Daphnia pulex: one gene and its partners. The protein of the gene in region 4 binds, or shares a complex with, the protein of the main gene of each other region. Links are inferred from orthologs where the notes say so. Each region holds a gene or a part of one and is shown on either strand. Other genes may lie near its edges.

Region 1 (4,824 bases), on a different chromosome or scaffold from region 4:
CTTGATGGGCTGTAACGTCTCGTCTTCATCGGTGAAACACAAGGCCGCATCGACCCCCTGTACGACAGCCTCTTGGACCAGTGGGGTAGGCGGTGACCAGAGCCCAGCCAGAAGCAGAGGGGTCGTGCTCCAGTTGTTTAACATGCTACTATTGACGGCCTGATGATAGAAATAAAGATACTCAGTCATGATCAGGAAATAAAACCAAAAAATGTATTGCTTCTCATTTTCTGAACCAAAACTTCTGAGTTGAAATTATTTCTCTAGATTATGGAATGTGGACATGTTTACGAGTAATTTACCAAACGAAATTGAAGCATTTCTATGCCGCTCAACAGCTTTCTAGCTATATCAAGATGCTCAGGATCACGGAGGTACGCTTGACGATCGTAGAAGTCATTGAGAAGTCGACGCTCCCCAGCTAGCAGCTCTATTTGGGAACCACAGAAGATTGATAGAAATAAACAAATTGTAAGTATCTCCTTATTCAAAATAAAATGATTGTTGTTAAAGTGAACGTACCAAGGTAGCTGGTGAGCATTCCATCGTTGAGGACGAGCCTAATCCATCCGCGACATCGGCCAATGTCAGACCTCAACCACGGGCAAGAATCTGACAAGTAGTCAACCGAATGTCGATGAGAGAACCCGAGCAAGAAAGGCCAAAAGTTGGGCGACGGTTGTCGAATCACATCACCAGAGAAGACGCTGGAAACCTTGTCGATGAATGAATCACGTAGGCGGTGAACGAACAGAGCTTCCAAGACACAGCACAGCGTATGAGCCGATTCACTATTCCCTTCGACGACCGCTGTTGACTGTTGTTGTTGCTGCTGCTGCTGACGTTGCACCTCTCGCACAGCTTCACCCAAGTGGCCCGTCAGTGCCGTCTTGATCAGCGCGTCGTAATTCATGTCATCTCTGGTCTTCTGGCGTTTCCACATTTTTCAATACACAGAATCAACACTCACATAAGCACTAAAGACAAGAAGAGGGGGCTAAACGTTTTCAGACGCTGGTTCACTAGCTTCAACCAATCCGTATTTCTTCAGCTTTTCCACTGTAATTGTTTGAGCACAGCCAGGACGAATGATGCGATAGGTGCCAGGTGACGACAAGTCGACAACAGTAGATCCTAGTCGAGCGGTAGAGCCGTCTGGAATAGGGCCACCGTTGAAGACAGCCCCGAGATGCTCCCAAATCCCTAGAAATTCTTCCACCGATAGAGTACTCTGAGATCCGCTGATGTTGGCGCTAGTCAACGCTAAAGGTTCAGCACAGCTATTTGCCAGTTGACGAATGAACCAAGAGTCCGGAATTCGAATGCCAACAAGTTTAGTTCCGGGGTTGAGTTCAGGATTCAAGGCAGGACTTCTTTCGAACACAAGGGTGACGGGTCCAGGTAAAAGGTCGTGCAGTAGACGTTCATCTACTGTAACGTGTCCCCACTTGGCGATTTCGCTAACTTGCGACACGCAAATAGCAACCGGTTTATTCTTGTCTCGCGATTTGATTTGATAAAGTTTTTTCAAAGCTTCTGAACTTTGGGACAGACAAGCGATCCCATATAAAGTGTCTGTTGGAAGAGCAATCACACTGCCCGATTTCAGAAGCTCCACTGCATTTTTTAGGATGGCTGCGGAGTTCTTGGGCCCAAGGAGGATGACTGGGTTGATCATTTGACAATTTTAAAGGCGATAATGAGTTGAGTTTAACATGAAAAAAAGAAAGTGGGGGTTTGAAGGCAGGTTGTGTCTAATCACGCCACAGGTTGGAGCACTCGTGGTTGCAGCACTTGTAAAAGGTGGTCATAGGCTCATCTGCAGATCGTGTCTGCATCTGCAAAAAGTAAGCTCTTGAATGGTCACACTTGGGACAAGTTGCTTCAGTGGAATCCACATTCTCCCAGGCAGCAACTCCTCCTAATACATCATCCACTTCCTTAAGTTTGGGGAATGATTTGCTGCTAACTTTTCGATTAATGTTGAATACGTAAGGGCAAGTACGGCAAGAGAATCGGAAACACTTGGGTCCTTCTTCAACACCCAAAAGATTTCCACACGTGGGACAGAACATCAACATTTTGATAACTTCGTAAGATCAATGTCTTCTCATTCAAAAACTTCGTACCATAATACAGAGTTTAAAATGCCACCATTTATATCTGCAAGGGAAATCAAGCATCATGTAACTTGAGAATGTTAGATAATAATCATAGTGATGGAATTTTACCTCTAACAATCGCAAATTACCCGTTGAAAAATGTTGCTTCGATTAATGTCGTCCCCTTTTTCCAACATACTTCCGCCCATGCTTTTTCGTCAGCTGTTTAGAAAAAAGCGTTGCCAAGTCGTGGTAACGTAGACCAAGTTCGAAGCGCCAAATCGAATTGCGAATTGCCGATAAATAAACAAATTATTTATTGTTGTCAAGATTTATAATTTATAATTTATAACCTCGTACTCATAGTAAGAGGTAATTTATTTCATGAACTTTGTTCTTTGTTCATATCAGTGATAAAATTCACTCCCCAAACCCCTTTTGGGAAATAAGCTAAGTATTTTTTTTTAAATAATAAAATTTGATGTTGTGGCAAGCCCACAATAGCAAAGTGATAGTAGTTGATGGGGATCCCACCTTTTTTTTCGGGGGAGGGGTTTCACACCCTTCTTTTTTATTGGTGAAAAAAAAAACGTGAACGTGGTGGCATTAGATTTTATTTGGCGCAATAATTGTTAACTGTCACATCATCCAAACCAAATGATTTGGTCAGTTTAAAATGGGTCGTGGTGAAAAGTGAAAACAACTTTAACGTCAAAGGCTCATAAAGAATCGAATGCATAATACTCTGTAATGAAGCTAACTTGGGTTTGAACTTTGCTTTCCATTCCCTGCATTGTACGGAAGACAGCAATTTTACTACATTAGTAATAACACAGAAATGTAAACTCTTTTAGACCGGAACCGAAAGAGAGAGGCTATAAGCTATATATATAAGTATACATACAGTCTATAACTATCAATCACTTTACTTTTTTTTCCCCCATTGAAATCGTCGTAACGGATTCACGGTATAGCCGCAAACTTTGTGCAGCAGCCAATCACATTGAAGGAAGCAACATTTTGAAATGGCAGATAATACAGTGACACAAAGTTTACCTAACTACATATCTATAACAATAAGCAAATCAACTTGTTCGAAATTGCGTGAGGCAAATGTGGCATCTCTTGGAGACAGGCAAAGCTCTTACTGGTGAAGCTCAGAGAGTCGATTGATGACACTTAGATAGCTTCGTTTGCTCGAAACGCTTCCATCTGGTTGGCTCTTTGGCGTCTGAGATCCGAACGGATGAACAGCGATAGAGCAGCGCCGAAAAATAGTGCTGCCGACAAACTTCCGTTACAGACCAAATCGCCGTAGTTGCTCAAGAGCCAACCCCCGATGATTGTGAAGACGATACCAAATACTTGGGCGGAGGCATTCAGTAAACCAGACGACGTCACTTCTGGCTCAGGGTACGTCAATTCAGCTGCAAACTCGAATCCAACAGGCAGATATCCAGTCATAAAGAACCTTAACCAAATTATCACAAATGTTACGAAATCTTTTAGAACACATAAGTAATATTTAAAAAAAAAAGCTTATTACCCTACAGCTCCGGCCGTGACGAACGTAATGACGATATATTGAAGTTCGAACGTAAAGGTGTAGGCGACCATTCCGGCCACTGCTAATCCATACACCACAAGAGTTGTTTCCCTAAATAAAACAGAACGCAAAAGTCAGCTGCATATCTTGCAAAAATAGAGTATCACGCATTTTCTTTTTTTACCTGAATTTGTGCGTTTTGTCAAGAATAATACCACACACTACCGAGCCGAACATGCCGCAGACGACGATCGTCAAGCCAATCCGACCCGCATTTTCTTCTTCACCCTGAAATAAAAAAACGATTATTTTTTCGTGCATTTCTTTGACATAAAATAATACTCAATAATGTTGTCATTTTAAACTTGACATAATTCAGTGAGGTATAGCCTATATAAATTTAAAATACCGGAAAATGTCGAAGCACAGTTTGGTTGAGCAGGGTAGACATAGCGTAAAAGACACCGGCATTGATTCCGTACGTAATCAAAAGCAAAATGTAATTCTTGTTAGTGACAATCGTTTTGACTGACTGGTAGTAGGTCACCGGCTGTGACGATTGAGGTGCAATGCGTGCCGCATTCGGAGGAAGAGGCGGTTTAGCTTGAAATCCTGTATCGAATACCTTTTTGAAGTTAAGATATTGAAAATATCTTTGGAAAAATAATGGACTTTACCGATCACTACTACAATGAATAAGGCCGTGCAGACGCCCGCCACAATGTAGAACATGAGTTTCAAATCGGCTCCAATATCATCGATATTTTCGTGGTCCTTTACCAAAATAGGGGGCAGAAAAAAGCCGAGGGCCACGCCTAACTGATGTAAGACAAGTCTGGTTAGTTCAGTTTTTGGAAATATTTAAAACTCGCTATTCAGTCTGTCGTGAATGTGATCAGACAAAGTGGATTGTCGTGCAACAATCCAGAGTTTTACTCGTGTCTATTACAACAGACCTGGTTGCCAAAAACACCTATTGAACACGCTGAAGAAACTTGTTCCGCTCCGAACCAGACGGCAGCGACATTGGGTGGAACACCGAGAATGAAAACCTGTCAGCATGTTAAGTAAAAAATAAGTCAATTTAACTTATAAAATAAAGGCAATAACTTACAAATACTATATTAAGAAATAAACAAATAATTCCAAGAATCAAACCTGCGACATGGCCGTTAT
Region 2 (6,740 bases), on a different chromosome or scaffold from region 4:
TTATTTGCCTTGAAAGTGATCAGCCTTTGAATACACCATTTGTCCCCGAATGCAATATCTGTGGAATTCCTGTGAAAGGTTATCCATTCTAAAGGAAATTGGGCAGGCCTTATCCATACTAACAAACAGCTTCTTCAGTTTTGTGGAATACTAAGAAAAATAATGTATGTGTCAAATATAACATATAAGGAACTGTGTAAATTTTAAATAGCACAACATGTTTGACTTACTATCCATGGTGTTGCTTTAGTTTTATCCTGAGCTTTACTAAATTCAACATTGAAATTTTGATCGCCCGGCCACAATTCCATTGCTGGCACTCCATTAGGGACATCAAAAGTTGGACTGGTGTTTATCGATATGCCAGGGCAATTGTTAATGGGATAGGTAGTTGTGTCCATTAGTTGCTGTTGCTGATAATGTTGGAAATGGAATGCATCTGTGCAGAGGTAATTATTTTCCTCCTCAACAGGATGAGCATTCGTGTGCTCAACATAATTTGAGGGATTCTCAATGATTGATTGAAGTACTTGATTTTGTGAATTAGTTAAAGGTAAAAGGTCAAATGACATGTCTTCATTTTCTTGGCTGTAATAGTTAAGAGATTAATTAACTGTTATGCTTAAAAAATGTCACTTCAAAATTAAGCACTTCACCTGTTGGTGGTTTCCCAATTATGACCGAAATAACCCGGTGGTTGACCATCCATATCAAATAATTATTATAAGCTTAGTCGCTAAATAAGAAAAGATGATGAAACAATCGAAAGGCACGATAATGTAAGCAACAGGTTGACGAGCTGAGCTGTGGTCACTATTTGACGTCTTGACTTCTACTGAAGTAAAAAACGCAAACGCACCCCTCCTCCACCTTGCGCGGAGAAATTTAGGCAAGTGCAGACTTGTCTTCATCTTTATCTTTACAGTTTACACTGAATAGTCTTCTCCCACAAATTGCAGCAGTTTATTTAATATAAATAAAGCTTATGTATAATATTATTCAATAATTGCCATACATGAAAACATTCGTTTAGTCGTGATTATTTTTAATTCTATACTTCAAACTTCGAAAGAGATGTATAATTTGCGCGGATTGGCGCCATTTTCAAACATTGAAATTTGAACATTTCTATTTGTCCATCCAAACGATATTCATTCAAGTAATCATTGGAAACAAATTTAAATTGTGAAATTAAGTAATGTATTATTGCCAACTCAAAATTTATGTACGTAGCGCGAATGATCACATAGTAATAATAAATCACAAGTCACACATTGTTTGAATCAGCAAAGATGAATAGTGATTTCCCCACCTCAAAAGTTTTACAACACTACGACAAATGAATACAGCTATGATCGATGTAGATAATTATAGAAGATATAAAAAAATAGTCTAATAAAAAAAATTGAATTGTGGTCGACCCACTCGGAAGTCATTTTCACTTTGAACTGGTGTACTTGGTGACAGCCTTGGTGCCTTCCGAAACAGCGTGCTTGGCCAACTCGCCAGGTAGGAGGAGACGTACAGCTGTTTGGATTTCACGACTGGTAATGGTCGAACGCTTGTTGTAATGGGCTAGCCGCGAAGATTCTCCGGCAATCCGCTCGAAAATGTCGTTCACGAAGCTGTTCATAATAGTCATGGCCTTGGACGAAATTCCAGTGTCGGGATGTACCTGCAGAAAAGTTTCATCGATTGTAATTACACGATTATACACTATAAAATATCACGAAGAGAAACAAAACATTTACCTGCTTCAAGACTTTGTAGATGTAAATGGCGTAACTCTCCTTCCTCTTCTTGGTACGTTTGGTCTAAAGAAAACAAGATGTGAATCAAACTCGTTCAAAGTTTATAACACGAAATTCTTACCTTTTCACCAGACTTGTTGAGACCACCCTTTTGAGTCTTTCCTGCCTTTTTCGCTGCTTTTCCACTTGTTTTTGTAGGTGACATGGCCATTTTGATGATATTCTTAACTGGAACTCGACTGTGAGCTGATAGAATCTGGGAAATTCTGCTACAGAAAACCTAGACGACGTTGGTTTTTATACTCTTTCCCCCCATTTTTCGGACAAAGAAAACTCCCTATTTGCAGTCATAACTCCGGGGTACAAACCCATCCTCCTTCCACTTTTTTGTTTTCAGACGTTTTCTTACTCTTCCTCTAACCTCAAGTTAATGGATTTGTTTAATTCATTTAAAAGGGGATAATCTTTTTTCTCAGAAAGAGAAATAAACTATGAGCAAACTCTGTCTAGCCACGAGGTATTTTTTCGTTAGCCTTCCACGAATTCATATGCATTTTTTAAAGATTTTTTAAAGAAACTATTTTTTGTTAGGGCATATTCCGATTATTAAGTTTAATTGAAAAAAAATCATTTTAAACCTATTCAAAGCAAGGTCAAATGAGCTCCAATGAAATTGTTGTTTGCCATACTGAAAATAAGTTAGCCAGCCAAATAGGTTTTTAAAAATAAATATATGTTTATAAAATCTGAAGAAATGCATACAGCATTTATTAAATTTCGTGTCTATTAAATAATTTCGATGATTTATCAAATAGGATTTAATATGACCCATTTCCAGCAGACGACTGCCTCCCCATTTCACGATTTGAAGAATAATATTGTGCAGTGCTGTCTGCAGAGAATTTGCTTTCCCACGTTGTGGGAGTGATATCTATGATTTGTGATATCTAATTTATAATTTGGCGTCTAGAATCTGAAAAAAAATGTCAAAGTTAGAAGAGGAGAATGATGAAGTTGTCAGAGAGGTGGGAATTGGGTGTTGTTGCTGTATTCGGCGTGAATGTTCTCACATGTTTATGATTTTTACAGATCCCAGTCTTTTTGTCAAAGAATTTGCTTCAGAAACTCTATGTTTTCCAATATCCACTTCGTTCTGTTGCAGTTGAAATGGAAAGACCTCATGTTGCTGCTGTAAGTATTATATCTTGCATGCAACTCGATTTCAATATTAATGTGAAACATTTCAGTCAAGGATTAAGCCTAAACTTCAGGAAGTTGAATTAGAGCTTGAATTACCAACACATACACAAAATTATGATAGGAGCAAAGCTGAGCAAATTGTTATTAATACAGATGGACAAAATAAATATGATAAACCTGATCATCAGAACTTTTTCAGCGGGTAGGATTGGTTCGTAATATATTTACTTCAACAATATAATAAGTGTTTTCTTTCTTTCATGAAAGTTCATTTATGGATAAAATCACCTATTCTTCCACAAAAGCACTTTTGGATCCAGGAAGGTTTGCAGTTGGCATTGTAGTTGATAATGAACTTCATCTCAATCCATTGCATGGAATTCTACATGTAAAACCCAACTTTCCATACTTGGACAAATCTGAAAAAAATCTAAAAGATACTGATGAACCAACAGGTTAATTTCTTAATGCCAGAAGCATTGTTTCAAATTTATTAAAGTTCTTTGTGAATTTTATAGAGTCAGGTGATGAGGAAGAAGTTGCTGAACAAATCACTGTGAAATTTGCTCGAACTGAAACAGACAGAAGCAAAGCCCTCAGAGAAAAGTCTTTTGGGTTCCTCCAAAAAAAGAATGCAGAAGAACCCTGGTACAATACCAAATTCTATTCATTAAATTCTGAGGAATCCATGGTATTTATATCACAGTATTAAAGGTTATATAATCAATAGAATTATTGTTTGATCATTTGTATAGTTGGAAAAAAACCGTCTCATCTGTGGAAAATCGGATACAGTTCAAAATCTAACCATGGCAAAAGATAAATACATCAGCGATTTGATTGGCCCTAGCCTAGAGATTGATGAATTTCAGAAACAACTTACGTTAGGAAACGCGTCAATGTTTCAAATTCTTAAACTGCCTCAACTTGTAGATAGAATTAAAAATCTCATGGCTAATGGTAACTTAAATGTTGAAATAGTATTACCACATCGATAACCAATTTCTATCTATAGTTAAGCTGATCTCGTTCAGTAAGTTGTGCAGTACCCTAGAAATCAAACAGGAATCTGTTAAAATGGAATCGCTGAAATCGCTGCAACAGGTGGCTGAGTTGGTCCAAGGTAACTGGGTTGTCAAGAGCGAAATCCTTTATCCGAGCGGAGAGAAAGACAAAACGGTTAAATTGTGTGGAATTTCCGGAATTCATCCTGATATCATCAGCAAAGCCAGGGATTATGTGGTAAATAGCCTCCTGATGATTTGTTTTTTTCCTGGCGACTGTCATAAAGTTCTAACATTTATGTTTTGATTTGATATAGTTGTACATGTTTACTCTAAACCGTTGTGTGAACCGAGAAGCAGTCACTATTGCGACTAAAATTCCTACTGATGAAATGAAAGTTATTCTGGAGCAAATTTCCTTCAAGACCAAGGACGGATGGGAATTCAAATTGCCTTTTGATCAAGCCTTTGTTGACAAGTGCGTTTCAATTCCTTTCCAATGATTTTTGTGTTTTAATGACATTTTATTGCGAAAACAGGTATCCGGAAGTGGTTAGGCGCAGCGAATTGATGAATAAAGCTAAGCAGAAGCAACTTTACAACGTCGCCGAATTTAAAGCTCCGAAGAAGGAACCCACCGATACAATAAAGAAAAGAACAAGGCGACGCTCTCGACAAGATTCGTGCAGCTCAGACAGTGGAAATGACGTTAAGAAGTAATCGCAGTTGAACATGAAAAAGCGGATATTAAAAATCTTCTAGTACACTTTTTCTACCCTGCAACAGTCTCGCTGTTCATTTCATTGTTTTGACCTTGATTGTTCAGTTCGTGCTCTTGTCGAAAAATGAAATGGTTGACTGGCGAAAGTAACTGTATCTCTTTTCTACTTTTGATTTGTACGTAGAAATCTCAAACCGTACCAACAAAAATAACTGCAAGCCTCATCCACATTTTCACAAGCCCTCTGGAATATAAAATTTCGAAAGGATTTTTTATTAATATGAAAATATGTACACTTTTTAATCCTGGAACCTGGATCTACTGATCTACTCTAAGCTTTTTCATGCGACTGTTTTTTTTTTTCTTGTAAAATTGTTTGTGTTAATAATAAAATACGGAAACGATACATCCTCATATAAGTTTTTCTGGTTGTTTTTGCCACGAACTCAGTTTTGTGTTATCAATGATAGGTTAGGCAACCGTCTGCTAGAACTGATTTTAAGATTAGATCGTAGATTATAAACATCCTGGTTGCGTAAACCGATACAGCAAAAGAAAGGGGAGGAGCTTATTACAATCGTCTGAAGAGTTTGTTTACTGCTTTAAAATCAAGTTTTACACGTCAGTCATTTTTACACGTCAAACAGTCAAAGAATGTTGCAGCAAATATTTTAGATACTATATAAAAAACTATATGTGAGTGCTGAGAATTCAATTTCCTTAAATGCTATTGTGAGTTTGTTTCATTAAAGTTGTTATACTAAGAACATTTTCACGTGCGTACCTACGAGACAAGCACCATTGACGATTATCAGGAAAATGATTAAACTTGATTCCTTTCTGTCTGGGAATGCTAAACACACAATGATGTTGGCCAATTCAATTATTGGTGCAAGTATTTTGTCCATGCCATTCTGTTTCAAACAGGTATGCATATACCTATGTTGTTATTTTTATAGTTTATTTGGTTTTCCGATTCAACATTTTAAATAATTATCTTTGAATTTTGGCTTACAGTGTGGAATCATCTTGGGCTCTATAATACTCTATTTAAACAGCATTATGACAAAACTTTGCTGTCATCAACTTGTCAAATCCTCTTTGATTTCGAGAAGGAGGAACTATGAAGTTTTAGGTATTATCAAACAACAACAATAAACTAAAGATGAAGTTTGGTTGAATTTTTCCTTAAACCTTTACCAAAATAATTCTTTTCATTCTATTTTAGCTTATGATGTTATGGGGCCACTAGGAAAACTATGGATTGAAGTGTGTATCATAGGCTACAACATGGGTTGCTGTATTGCTTATTTGGTCGTGCTTGGTGATCTTGGTCCAGAGATATTAAACAAAATAGGACTGAATTATTCATTTCATTCAGCACGAATACTTCTCATGGCAGGTACGTGTTTGTGTTTTACTGTAATGTAATATTAGATTTCTCTATAATACCATTTTAATGTCATGGAGCAATGTAGGTAGCAGCATGTTCATCATATTACCTCTCAGCCTCCTGAGAGATATTGAAACATTGAATGTTATGTCCACAGTATCAGTAGCCATGTACATGTTGTTGGTCCTGAAGGTAATGATTAATAAAAGAATGAAGATACATGCACATATATATATAATATGCTGTGCCAAGTAAGTGTGCGAGTTATAAAAAATCTGTATTGAATGTTTTTTTTTGTTTTTTTATTCAGTCCTTCTTTGAGGCTGGAGTCCAAGGTCTCACCGAGGGAATATCGTCGAATATTGAAGTGTGGAGATTTGGTGGTGTACTTCAATGTGTTCCAATATTTTCGATGGCTCTGTCATGCCAGACGTAAGTGACAATAGTCGTCCAGAATAAGTTATCCATCGCTACTTTTTTGGGGTTTCACATTTTCAGGCAAGTTTTTGAGGTGTACGAATCTCTACCTGAACCTTCACTCAAAGCCATGGATCGAGTGGTATCTTCAGCCATTGACCTCTGTACGTTTATTTACATGGGAGTAGGAATAGCTGGCTACCTAGCATTCGCAGATACTCACTTTACTGGTATTATAAAAAACTGTTTCAACG
Region 3 (5,369 bases), on a different chromosome or scaffold from region 4:
ATTTAAAAAACGCTACAGTAATCAATTTTTGAAAAAAAAAAACAGGAAATGCCGCCTGGGCTCACATACTTGCAAAGAATCAATTATTGGAAAACCCATCGACCGTTGGCGGAGAAGTCATGTTCATCACGGACGACACGGTCATTCAGAATGCCTTTGAATTTATTGATCCATTTTTGAAGGCTAGATCGATGAGGACCTCGTCGATTGTCTATCCGGCTACTCTTGCTGTAATATTTGTCCTTTTTCTTTATTTCGTGTCGCGTATGCTACGACCATTGGTGCACCTCAAAAACCCCTTTCCGCATCCAGCGACATTGTACTTCATTGTTTGTTTCTACTGCTTCAATCGGCTCAAGGCTACTCTCCGTCTCGGCTACAAACCTATTTACAACCCTGAAGAATCAATAAGTAAGTCACTTGAATATTACAAAAATGTTCCTCTCTCCTAGGCCCCATGGTCTTTATTTGCTGTCAACAAGTTTGCATAATTATAATAATTAGACATTGTATAATGTATATTAGGAATATTATTCAACCCAAGAAATAGTAATATATGTGGGATAGACTATTTTTTAGTCTGACTGTGTTTTTCAATCTTTTGAACATTCTTTTGAATAAGTTCCTTGAGAATTGAATTGGAATCTTTGGTGCAAAAATGGGCAATACAACATTCTAAATTGCTACCAGTCAGTTTGAATTCAGGCATGGTACATTTTTTACAGTGGCTTGATGGAATCACATTGTGTGCAGTTAAATTAGAATGAACTAAAAACTCGAAAAGACCCAATGGGGTCTGAGAAAACAACTCATTACAGGTATCACAAAAAATCACAGACTGATGCTGTGTTTTCTCATTCCAGCAAAGAATTTTAGAAATCTGAATAGAAAGAAGGTGAAGGTCTGAGTTTTGGTAGCGAAGATGGGACCTCTTGCATGTGTGAAGGCGGACAACTTTAAATGGAAATTTCTGTACAAACACTGTGATGGGATCCGTACAATTTAAACAAATCTCCACACTGTGCCAAGGTAAGTTTTGGGAGTGGTTGCCAAGGTCTACCAAGGAACAGAATGACTGATTGCAGTTGTAGCATTGGTAATTCTTCTCTATAGCTGGGGACTCTCCAGCCAATCGATGATGAACTGCATCTGTTTCTAGGTCATTAAAAAAACTGCTCAAGTATTTTGAACTACTAAACAAATATTTGGTTTGTAAAAGATCACACGCCGTTCTGAGAATATGCATTGGTAAAATGTCTGGAGGTCAAGGGAAATAATTCTTACCTTCAATTCCGCCTGAATACTCATCCATCTATATTCTTCCAAAGTCCAGCAAAGACTTGAAAAAATTCAGAGGAAAACTGAACACGGGCGTGTTCAGTCAAACCATAAAGCTTAGCAGTACATATGTATAATTCAGCACGCCATATATGAATAGAGGTCAATGTTTTTATCTGTATTCTTTTTTTCCCGTGTGTCCCGAATTTTTTGTTGATAAACATTAGAAATTTCCTTAACGACTAAACATTGTTGCCAAACATCACAAAAACATCTGGGTGTGTCAATTTGTAGACATGTAAATCGCGGGTTTTTTTGTTAATAAGGAGGATAGGGAAGTAGTTAAACATAAAAGAAAAAACATTTCATGATAAACAGGCGCAAAAAAGAACGATTTCTAACGACTAGAAACTGATAATACAGGTTTCCCAACACAGATAATTTTTCCAGTTTTGACACAATAGTGGGAAATGGTTTTCTCTCCTCCGACACTTAATTGGAATTCTGGTAACGCACATTTTCTGCAATCGGGAACAGTTGTGTGCTTGTATCTGTTGACGTGTTTCAAATACTTAAAGATACCATTGGCTGAAAAATCAAAACTAGCTTCACAGCTCTGAAGGTCACATCCTATAACAGTGTAATCAGGAATCAAACCTGATGAATTTAATTTGGTAAAAAGGAACTGACTGTGAAAGTGAAGATCTGAATGATTGTGACAAACATCAGATTTGTTACAAGAGTGAATTCTCACTGCACATTTAGATGTAAAGAATACAACAATGGATTTCTTGCACTTTAAACACATTTCTTCACTGTGGGTTGGGTTTTTAATGGAATGCTGAGCCAAGTCTTCCAATGCAGTAAATAACTGTGGGCAGTCATAGCATCTATAGGGAAAATCTTTGACTGTATTGACTTGATTACTCAACCTATGATGAACAGCATCTGCTTCAACAATACTAGGTTGGTTATCCATTGCTCTATACAATTTTTTTTTACTTTGTTAGAATATAATTTACATCAACAGAAAATTTAGGATTATGCCTTGCCTGTATTCTTCACCTGTAGTTGTAATAGGTCTATGATTCTTGCTGATAAGCGATAAGATAACATATATATCTTTTATGGCTTACTATGGTGAATCAACCTTACGAAATAAACATGCCCACGAGGTAGATTAAGCAAAGAAAACCTTCAAATACTAAAGAGAGTAAATAGGGCACCTTTACCTTGCGATATTGCGGTGCGGTCGGCTTTTTTCTTTGAATAATCAAGGTAGCAATTGAAAGCAACGACATGATTTCAACATTGCAAACCTCATCCAAAGAGAATGTTTACCAATATTTAGCAGACAGCAATTACAGCGTTGCTTCCTCTTCGTGCCTTTAAAAACCACAAGATAATTTTGATCAAACGAAAATTACATAATACTTGCTGGATTATTTTCAAAATTTCTTTAAATAGATAGAATTGATAAAACTGAATTGAAATCGAAATAATTTTACCGCGGTTTCCAAATGACATCGTTGCCTACAACTGCAGCGTGAAGAAAAGTTCTCTAAAAAAACGTGCATTTTTTTCAAAACAATCTGCTCGTGTTTGGAATCTTCAAGCATTTCTGGCTACTGATCGTAATTGAAATGGAAATGTAAGCTAATTGTATAAATTTGTCCATGAACTTCCACTCAACCCCATTTTTTGTTTGTGTTACAGAATCGATGCAAACACGGCTATACTTAGCAATTTTGAGGTAGGTAAAACCTGTTTACTGGAGAATGTGTGGCTTTGAATAATTTATTTGTAATCTAACATTCTTCAAGGTTCTGGGACTTTTGAACAGTTCAAGAGTCAAAGGAGACCAAACCAGGAATCAAAGTGGGTCCTTAGCCACCATCACGTATGAAGTAAGGATTTTTTCAAATGATTTCAATGTGTATCTGCTTCGATTCACCAGTTTCTTTTTGCCTATAGGCCATAAAATATCTTGAAGGCACGCCAGCTGCAGTACAGTCTGAGGGTTGCTTCAAGAAATTTCTCGAGGATGTGAAAAAGTTTGGACTGACTAAAAAAGAGAAAACCATGATCTTGAATCTGAGGCCTAAAACTGACGTTGAAATATCACTGGTATAAAAGCTATGCATGCCACTAGAATTGTCCATGTCTTAATCAGTGATTCAAACCTTTTTAGATTGTCCAATCTACAGATCAGGAACGGTTGACTGAAGAACAAATTGAGGAGCTCATAGAACTCATTCAAAATACTTTGCCAGAATAAATTTGTTTTAACCCCGATTCTCATTTTCACGTTCGTTAAAAACTCAACTCTGAATGTAAACAAATTACTAAATCCGAGAAAGCATGAGATGACAGCGAAATGTTTCAATTGCCTAACCATTACACCATGTGCCCAACGAAACCACCGTTATCCATCAAGGTTTCTCGACAGCCGTTATTTTATCTTTATTTGTTTTTAGTCGATCAACATTCCTTCCAACATCCTAACCATTAACAGCAGGATAACGACGGAAACATTCGAAACACTTGACAGAAGATTCATTCCGGGGTGAACCAAACTTGATTCTAGGTTAGACATCACTTGAATAAATAAGATTGTCATTTTGGTTGCACATTTCTGTTCATTTATTGTAATGACGGGATCAAAATAAGATGGACAGAATCAATATGGAGAACATATTTTGTGTGTATATCGCCCGAGTGCTAACTCCTTGGAGGAAGAGTAAATGGTAAAGGGGGTCGGAGAGAAAAAAACAAAAAGACGTGGGAGATATTTCAGGACTTTTTTTTTTCTTAAATACACAACAGACACATGACAAATGGTGGGGTTTGGGGGGTTCGAAGAAAGAAAATTCGAACTCGGCTATTTTTCAGGACCAGGAGGGAAGTTTAACTACATCGTCGTCGCTTTACAGTTCGTCACTTGTGATAAGATTAAAAGGGAGAATGAAAGAAAAAAAAACACAAGAATGAAATCAAAAGGTACAATTGGTAGAACCAATCCTTTCTTTTTTTTAGTAATACAATTCCCTCCCCCCATCGACGATCCCTTGATCCTCTTCTGCCCCCCTTTTTTTTATTTCGATACAGCATTCGCACGAAGCCATCCGATTGCAACGCTTAAAATAACTTGTGTAATTTTTTTTTTGTTTTACTTTTGTGTGTAATTTGGAGGTTCATGATAACAATTCGTCGGTGAAACATCCAATTCAAGACCTCGATTTCTTTTCTTTTTTTTTGCTTCTTTTTGTTCCTAAACGCTAGTCAAACATTGCCCGTCTGTCAGACGGACATAAAGGGATGCGGGTAGTAGATTTATTTATTTTTTCCTTTATTTTGTTTGGCCTGCGGTCCACCTCGTGGGGGCGTCATGGGTCGGCCGGTGTTCAAGCCTCCGTACGGAAATTTCTTCTTATCGGCTGGCTGTAAACACGTCAAAAGAAAAAGTGATGTAAGTGTCAATGTAACGGATATGAGTGTACGTGCTTGCTTAACGTTACCTTGAGAATCTGGAAAGAGCACATCAGCGTTTCATCGACTGACATCATAGCTCCGGCATTGTCGAACTCGCCACAATAATTGGGTGCCGAAAAGAGGGTCACGAGCTGACGTTTTGCGAAAAACTCGTATCCGTCTTCAACAACCTGATAAAAGAGCGAATTTTAACAATGGTTAATTAAGATGCGTGAACGTTACTCTTTTGGATTGAAAGTTTGGCGTGAGTTGTCACGTGCTTCACTGCACACACACAATATTGCAATCTAGACACGTTTCATCAGAAAACGTGACATCGACCCCAATGACGGTTTGGCAATCGAGTGAAAAGAAAAGTAACAAAAAATGGTTACCTGATGAGCTCTGCAGATCAAATCCATGTCGTGTTTATGAAGGAATTTAGCAACAACTTCCGCACCAAAAGTAAAGCTGACTCCTCGGTCGTTTTCACCCCAGCCCATCGTGTCCTTGTCAGGGTCAGACCACAAAAGATCGCAAAGCAGACCCTGATCGGGTACGTCTGTGGGCCTCATAATTCGGCGAATTTGTTCCATGCTCTGGAGATCGGGACTGAGACC
Region 4 (7,054 bases):
AAGTTGGAATCATGCAGACATTCCACTGAAAGATGATACACTGGTGGTTTGCATCGAACCTATACGGGAAAAATGAAAGCATACAGAAAATGTTTAGATGAAATCAGTTTAATTATGATTTACCAGAGGGTAATTCAATGTAGGAGTTCCGATAATCATCCACACTGGGTTAGGAATTCAAGAGCAAATTTTTAAAAAAATATCTTTGAAACACAGACATTTATAATCTAAGAAACGAAAACAATATTATTAATAACGATTTTTTAAAATAACATGTTAAACGTTAAACGTAAACAAACAAACCTGACGTTTTTCTGTTCAAGGTAAGGGATCTCCATTTATACAAGGCCGCCGGACAGTTGTAAAAACTGCTACCCAAGAACCCAACTCGCTTCTTGAAGGCCTGCAAACTATAGCTTTTGGGTTGACGCACATCAAAGCCGGGAAAGTGAGACCGTTCCACTTTGAATCGCTGTGTAAAAAATACAGCTATTTGTATATCTTCATGTGGTCTATTTTGAAGACCTTTCTTTGTTTAATCTCTTTAATACAAAAATTTGCGTGATTGGTAACACATTTACGTAAATTTTGTGTTAATGTTTAGTGTCGGTTTGAATTTCGCAGTTTGAATTGCAGCGGTGGCGTTTCGAAACTGAGCCCCGTTTGAATTAGAATCGCTGTTTTAAAAAATACAGCTTATTTATCTTCGTAATATGTGATCCATTTTGAAGAGATTTCCTTGTTTAATCTAATGCATACAAAAATTTGCGTAATTGGTGTCACAATAACGTAAATTTAAGTGTCGATATTATGCATTTGAATTTTGCAGTTTGAATTGCAGCGGTGGCGTGTCGAAACTTAGCCTCCTTCGACTGTGACTAGAATCCCTTCGGGAAATTTGGTGATCAAAACAAAAAATTGGCACGGTTGTCAATCATTAATCGTGTCATTGAGAAAAAAAAGGCGCGAAGCGGACATTGCTCGAGATATTTCTGTAGACAGTCAAGGGCAATGTCTAGCATCCGGCACGTGTAGCTTTTTCCCATACAGACTAGTCTATAGCGGTTCCCTCAAGCAATCGACATATTTTACAAAAATTGTTCCTATCTGGCGTGTTATCGAGAATCTGTCATTCGACAAGCAACAATTGGTGGTCAGTTTTTGAGTGCTTATAAACCTGTGCCAACTACGCATTACACTGTTTCTTAATTTTCTACCGATAAGGTGACACAATGACAAAATTGTCAACGAGCCCCATAACGTAAGTTTTGCTTATTTACATGTTTTTTCTTCATTCCCTTGAGGGTGTCTATTTCACAAAGCGCGCCTTTTGCTGTTGCTCTAGATAATTTTTCTTCGACTACAAACGGCTGGTTTTCTTTTTACTGAGTCATTTCTGCAAATACTTATGTTGAAAAATTCTTAGTTATTATTCTCGAACAAAATTTTACAATCCAAGACAATTTCGAGCGACACATGACATGAGTTAGGTTAAGGGATGATCCTTGATTGCTTTCTTGAACATCTTCGACAATTACGCAGCAGTTTCACATCCAAAACCCAAACCCAGACAACGTCAGATTCGTGACACCCAATGTTACAATTCCTTTGATTTAAACTTTAAATAACTTTCCAATATTAGGATTGTTTCGTCTGCCTGGGTTTGTCCTAACGTCAGATTATCACTCATTAAGTGAATTTTTTCCACTAAAGACTTTTCGGCAGGGTGCATCGTATCGGATAACTGTTACAATAGAAAAGTTTCGTAAGTCAAACAGTGGGAGTATTTTAATCAAGAGATTTGCGAAAATGGGAAATACTAACTTCTGCTATTTCCTCTTCGGGAACTCCATCATCTCCTTTTAGACGTTCAAGCATTGATTCCAACATGGCATGTTTTTCAAGCAGGCGTTTGTTTTCTGTCAAGTCGTGCATTTGCCGTACCATAGCGTTAAATAAGCCTTTGTAACTCGCTTCCAGTACTGTCCGGACAACCTGTGCAAGGAAGTATTTTTGCAATTACACAGCATCATATCAAGGTATTTATATTTCGTTCTCACCTGAGGTAAGTCGACGTGGTACAAAATGAAGGATTTGACCGGAGCAAAATTGGAAGTCCCCTTTTTCAGTTCCTTGATTTGTAGAAAGTTGTGTTCCAGCAATTTGTAGGTGAACATTTTGGCTTCCTTGGCCGGAATCATTGCAACATTCTGCATCTGGTCTTGTTCCATAAACTTCTGAATCCGAGTCAGTCTAAGAGTGTGAAACAAGAAGATTTAATGTTTTAGCATATCCTGAACCATTTTTAAAATTTCTGATCCACCTAAAGAGTCGTAAAGCTTTCGATCCAAATCTTTCTAGTACAATCGAGTCCAACGAAGCGCAAGCCAAATTTTCGAAAACTTTCGAATAGTCAAGATTGAATTGACCGCCACCAGCATCGCCCGGTTTGTCAATCAAACCAGCAGAATCCTCGTGCAGCACTCTCAAGTAGTGATCGAAATGTTCCAACAAAATCGGACTACTGTCGTTTTTTCTAACGGCATCCTTAATTACGTTGTAGGATACGGGAGTTGTTGCTGGTGAATCGGGGTTGCTACTTTCGCGCCAGAGCTTGAGGATTAAATGGTATAATTCGCCAGCTGTTGTATCCACTCTTCTGGCAGCAGCATTGACTAGAATCACATTCCTAAAAAACATTTTTTACATACAATAAAAATGGCAATTTAGGGTGGAGATAAATTTATTTCTACCTCAATTCAATGTCAAATCGTTCGTGATTTACACGCCAAATTATTTCGCTGTCGCAATGTCCGCCTAACTGAGTTGCTTTTTCTTTCAGCATTCTGGCTATAGGTTCAATCTCCACGTTTGGAACAGCAAATTTTTCTTTCTCTTCAATTTCAAGTGTGGGCACTTTTAGTAAAGTTGCGTTTTCTGCAAGCTTTGGGCATCTAATGATGAAGTTATCTTGGGCAAGTCTTTGAAAACTTTGATGGAGGGCTGAGGGACTTAAAACTTCACTATCTACAACGAATATAAGTATGGTTACTGTAATTTACAAAAATCAGGGCTGAAAATACCATTAGCTTCATTCAGCCTATTTGCTGAATGGAAAATAACATTGGAAGCACTTGCTTGTCCTAGATTTAGCAAGATCTCTAGCAGAATTTCTTCCGATGTCCCATAAATCCTCTTAATCATGTATAGATACCTGCAAAGTCAACTGTAAAATTTTAAAAGGAAATTACCACTATATAAGAAAAATGTACTTTGGGTATCTAATGAGACAGTAGACATTGTGATGCATCATTGAGTACTCTGCAACATTGTTATTCCGTTCACTTGCTTGGAATTTGACTAGGTTATGTTGAATCATCACAGCCAAAGCTTTCTTAACCTATGAAAAATGCAGAATTTTTAGAAAGTGTATCTTTAATATAGTTAAAATTGATCACACTTCGCGAATGGACAAGCCGGTTGCAGTACGTATGTCGGTCAACATACGATTGCCTCGCCTAAGTAAATAGGATCCGACTTGGCCGACAATTTCTCCATAGTAGTGGTTTAACAACTGGCTGCATACTTGGCTAAAGTGACCTAATGTAAACGATGACATTTTCTCGTTTGATTAGTTATGTTCCTTCGGAATCTAAAGAACATGTGCTCTTCAAACATCCACTAAACTACAACTTTTGAAACAGTATTTCTCAAAATGTTCGTCTGCAGCAAGGTATACTGATACTTCCTGCGTTGCCAAACGATACAAATGCAACCAAAAATTAGAAATCGAATTTTGCGTTTTATAAAAAATTAAACACGTGAACTTCCACTACCTGCGCATTTGAGCGGGGATCTTAGTCCTCAATCAATGAAAGACCTTGATGTGTAAAATTTCATGTTTTTCCCATTAAGTCTAAACAAATCAAAGTACAAGGTCACAGTGGGAACTGGGAAGCAACCCCTTTTTGCGAGGATGAAAAACGGCACGTGGCTATACTACGAACAATCAAAGAATGAGCTCCAAAAAGCCAAAACTGCACACGGTTATACCTTGGTCGAGGTATACTCTTCAAGATTTTACCTTGAAACACTTATAAAACTCGGCTGTGAATGGCCGTCGGACATCGGGAAGAGAATTTGCGTTCACCTTTTAATATTGTGTATGAGGCATTCGGCACGTGAAGTGCATCCCAAAAGGCGCTTGAACCCCAAAATTTTATTAGTGTAAAGTTTAGCGTTTAGGCTACGCTTACAGTGCAAAAGTGTTTTAGTAACAATTTTCCAAGTGTCTTTTATTATTCAAAAATGTGTTTCATCAACAAAATGTGGCAATCATTCGTGTAAAAAAAATGCCGCCTTTCGTATTCGAAAAACAGCCGTTTGGAATAAAATCTAACTTTGATTAATAATAGCGACATTTTCTTCGTAAGTTTTATTGATTTTATAAAAAATGTAATTTTAATTTTGTTTTCGCCAGAGAAAAATTGGATGCATCAGTAAACTGTCTAATTTATAATTTAATTTATGAAGTTTTCCTATCTTTGAACTCATATCTTTTTGTTTTCTCAACGCAGTGCGGTGGTGAGGCCGATCGCCGTGTCTAACTTAAGTGATAGCCGCAAACGCAAGTCTAGTCAAGACGTAGAAGGTGCCTATGAAGGTAGCTGGGCCATGAGACCGAAACCTCCGACGACGACAACACCGCCACCGTCGTCAACACCTTCATCGTCCGAAGAAGCATCTGCGCCTGGATTGGAGGAGGAAAACAAAGACGAAATGTTAAACATTTATTTTTGCATGGTTGACGCCCTGCTCCGATCAGCCGATGAAGAACGACCACTTCATTCCGCTCGTAATGAGCTAAATCAGAAACTAGGCCAATATGACGCAAATAAAAATAAAGATATGCGTCTTCGACTACTTAAACATTTTCAGAGTCAGGGAAAAGAGGCCAGAGATCTAGTGGGTCTTTTTCGCCTTCTTGATGTTATCTTGGACGATCACATGGACCTCGTCGAGATTCCTTGTAGGGACGAGGATGGATGTGAATGTTTTGATAATCGCATTTTGCCGATCATCATCAAGCGCTGCCCGAATCTTGGGAAACTTCACTTCCATTGCTCAAACGGCTTGGTAGGTTTTACGTTTTAGAAGTGACACATAAAATTATGTTTTAAACAAATGATAACTTAAGATATGTACTTATTTTATTAATTATTAGGCGCAAGACTGGCCAGAGACCATTGGTTTTTACATCAGCCAATTTACTTTTCTGACAAGCTTGCATTTAGACAAGGTTCCCATTCAGTGCAAATCCATCATCTCCGTTTTGGGAAAGTCTTGTCCGCGTCTAAAGTCCTTGCGTCTCGGTTTCGATAATTTACCTCTTTCTATCGACGAATTTTTGAGTATATTCTACTGTGGTGATTTGACCCTGCTGAGAAATGTCACTCCAGATGTTCCCTCAATCGAACACGACCAAAACCCGGCCACCGAACAGAAAAAGGCTTACAATGAATGTTGTGTGCCGCCTCATCTCTTATATTCATTCTGCCAAACCTTGGAAGAAATTCGGATAAATTATTTCAGCAGTAATGAGCCATATGTTATTGCCTTCATTCTACGCCACCTGCCGCTTTTACAAAAGCTTGAAACATCTGATTTTGAATTCAAAGACTACACTACTAGTATTCGCGCACTGTGGGATACTCAGAATCGAATGCATCGAGAGTCATCTGCCGACGAAAGCATGGAGTTATCTCTTCCCTCGAATTCAGATTCTATTGTGCTAAAAGAATTTTCAGGTATTAATTATTATTGTAACTCGCAACTTTCTTCAACCAAATAATCACAATGATTTTACGAATCCAGGAAAGTTGGCTCTGACGAGTCTTTTCGTTGAAGGTGAGAGGGATTACTTGAATCTCAAGAGCATGTGCGAACTCTGTCCTGATCTTCAGAAACTTCATCTCCTTGAAACAAGTGTTCGTGACGTTGCTGAAACTAAAACTTCAGAAAATGGATTCACATTATTAGAAATAGCAAATGATTTCAACAAATTAAATAAGGTATTAATTTTAAAATGTTTGCGCATTATTTTTGAAATTTTAATTTGTGCCCTATTAGTTAAGGGTTTTAACTTGTACGGAGAGTGATGGTCCACTATGTTCTGTGATCACGCAAGCAACGGCGCCCTTCCTAACCGCGCTCGAAGTAGTTTTGGACGGCGTTTTTATCCCGAAATTCGACTTTCTTATTTCGTGCGACAACCTTCAGATCCTCAAACTTTCTACCGAGTTTCACCCACCGCTCAAAAGCTATTTCAGTGTAGAGACTAAATCAAATCTGATCCCCGAGACGTTTTTGCCAAAGCTAGAAGAGGTGCAATTGGATTTCTGCATGAACTCCGAACTCGAGGAACTTTTTCTAAAGAAGTCTACCCTTAAACATATCGACGTCCTATGCTTGCATCATGTTGGACAGTCGGATGAGCAATTTATCGAACTTTTTCTGCAAGTATGACAAGAATATTCAAACATTTATTTTAAGATTGTTTATAATTACACTTGTTTTCATTTACAGTGGCCTCATCTAGTCAGCTTCAAGTATAAGATGCCTCGGAAATTCACTGTTGATATGGGACTGAAGATACTGGCACATCTTCCATGTTTGCGCTCTCTTTCTCTCTTTAAAGATATTAAATACAGATGTTCTGGTGATTTTAATCAACTCAAGAAAACTTGCCGCCAACGAAACATCAAACTCGACTTACATTTGTTTGTAGACACCTATCTCTGCATTGACGGAGATGTGAACGGTGATCGAGTGTCCACCTCCGACGAAAGCGAGACGGATTCCTAATGTTCTACTGTAAGATTTTCCATTCATGTAAACGGATATCGTTAACTCTCATACCAATCGTAGGGGCTTCCGATTATTAGTTTGTTAAGTGTACAGTAATGCCTATATTTTGCATTTATATCAACTGCACGTAATATCTTTTATTCAAATTCTCTTTCCGATTCCGAGTTTTAATTGTTTTCATGTGGCT

The links.
Region 1: DNA-directed RNA polymerase III subunit RPC3-like (region 4) and DNA-directed RNA polymerase III subunit RPC10-like share a complex: the UniProt entries of both Homo sapiens proteins name them as parts of the RNA polymerase III complex. The link is inferred for Daphnia pulex from reciprocal best matches to the Homo sapiens genes POLR3C and POLR3K.
Region 2: DNA-directed RNA polymerase III subunit RPC3-like (region 4) and DNA-directed RNA polymerase III subunit RPC5-like share a complex: the UniProt entries of both Homo sapiens proteins name them as parts of the RNA polymerase III complex. The link is inferred for Daphnia pulex from reciprocal best matches to the Homo sapiens genes POLR3C and POLR3E.
Region 3: DNA-directed RNA polymerase III subunit RPC3-like (region 4) and DNA-directed RNA polymerase III subunit RPC9-like share a complex: the UniProt entries of both Homo sapiens proteins name them as parts of the RNA polymerase III complex. The link is inferred for Daphnia pulex from reciprocal best matches to the Homo sapiens genes POLR3C and CRCP.

Annotation. Positions count from the first base shown.
Region 1 is NC_060019.1:12,451,915-12,456,738, reverse strand, and holds DNA-directed RNA polymerase III subunit RPC10-like, read right to left. Parts: upstream 2,082-4,824; coding exon 1,755-2,081; downstream 1-1,754. Other genes in the region: pleckstrin homology domain-containing family M member 1-like, read right to left, coding at 1-159, 303-430, 523-943; yrdC domain-containing protein, mitochondrial-like, read right to left, coding at 998-1,678; feline leukemia virus subgroup C receptor-related protein 2-like, read right to left, coding at 3,282-3,573, 3,649-3,759, 3,833-3,936, 4,058-4,260, 4,326-4,467, 4,605-4,700, 4,807-4,824. UniProt on the Homo sapiens protein: Core component of RNA polymerase III (Pol III) which synthesizes small non-coding RNAs using the four ribonucleoside triphosphates as substrates. Can mediate Pol I proofreading of the nascent RNA transcript.
Region 2 is NC_060017.1:5,952,306-5,959,045, reverse strand, and holds DNA-directed RNA polymerase III subunit RPC5-like, read left to right. Parts: upstream 1-2,577; 5' UTR 2,578-2,734; coding exon 2,735-2,776; intron 2,777-2,840; coding exon 2,841-2,942; intron 2,943-2,998; coding exon 2,999-3,153; intron 3,154-3,218; coding exon 3,219-3,406; intron 3,407-3,469; coding exon 3,470-3,642; intron 3,643-3,706; coding exon 3,707-3,911; intron 3,912-3,966; coding exon 3,967-4,193; intron 4,194-4,272; coding exon 4,273-4,433; intron 4,434-4,494; coding exon 4,495-4,675; 3' UTR 4,676-4,822; downstream 4,823-6,740. Other genes in the region: cellular tumor antigen p53-like, read right to left, coding at 9-150, 231-588, 657-709; histone H2B-like, read right to left, coding at 1,439-1,675, 1,752-1,814, 1,873-1,962; putative sodium-coupled neutral amino acid transporter 10, read left to right, coding at 5,496-5,603, 5,694-5,811, 5,905-6,078, 6,155-6,261, 6,380-6,501, 6,568-6,716. UniProt on the Homo sapiens protein: DNA-dependent RNA polymerase catalyzes the transcription of DNA into RNA using the four ribonucleoside triphosphates as substrates.
Region 3 is NC_060023.1:11,612,197-11,617,565, forward strand, and holds DNA-directed RNA polymerase III subunit RPC9-like, read left to right. Parts: upstream 1-2,921; coding exon 2,922-2,929; intron 2,930-2,994; coding exon 2,995-3,031; intron 3,032-3,101; coding exon 3,102-3,185; intron 3,186-3,252; coding exon 3,253-3,405; intron 3,406-3,469; coding exon 3,470-3,556; downstream 3,557-5,369. Other genes in the region: 3 beta-hydroxysteroid dehydrogenase type 7-like, read left to right, coding at 46-452; serine/threonine-protein phosphatase alpha-2 isoform, read right to left, coding at 4,612-4,719, 4,797-4,940, 5,145-5,369. UniProt on the Homo sapiens protein: DNA-dependent RNA polymerase catalyzes the transcription of DNA into RNA using the four ribonucleoside triphosphates as substrates.
Region 4 is NC_060018.1:10,221,752-10,228,805, reverse strand, and holds DNA-directed RNA polymerase III subunit RPC3-like, read right to left. Parts: upstream 4,015-7,054; 5' UTR 3,837-4,014; intron 3,749-3,836; 5' UTR 3,620-3,748; coding exon 3,461-3,619; intron 3,401-3,460; coding exon 3,273-3,400; intron 3,215-3,272; coding exon 3,084-3,214; intron 3,028-3,083; coding exon 2,754-3,027; intron 2,690-2,753; coding exon 2,324-2,689; intron 2,254-2,323; coding exon 2,061-2,253; intron 1,996-2,060; coding exon 1,825-1,995; intron 1,745-1,824; coding exon 1,598-1,744; 3' UTR 1,409-1,597; downstream 1-1,408. Other genes in the region: uncharacterized protein LOC124188665, read left to right, coding at 1,233-1,261, 4,578-5,136, 5,225-5,807, 5,875-6,071, 6,130-6,519, 6,586-6,864. UniProt on the Homo sapiens protein: DNA-dependent RNA polymerase catalyzes the transcription of DNA into RNA using the four ribonucleoside triphosphates as substrates.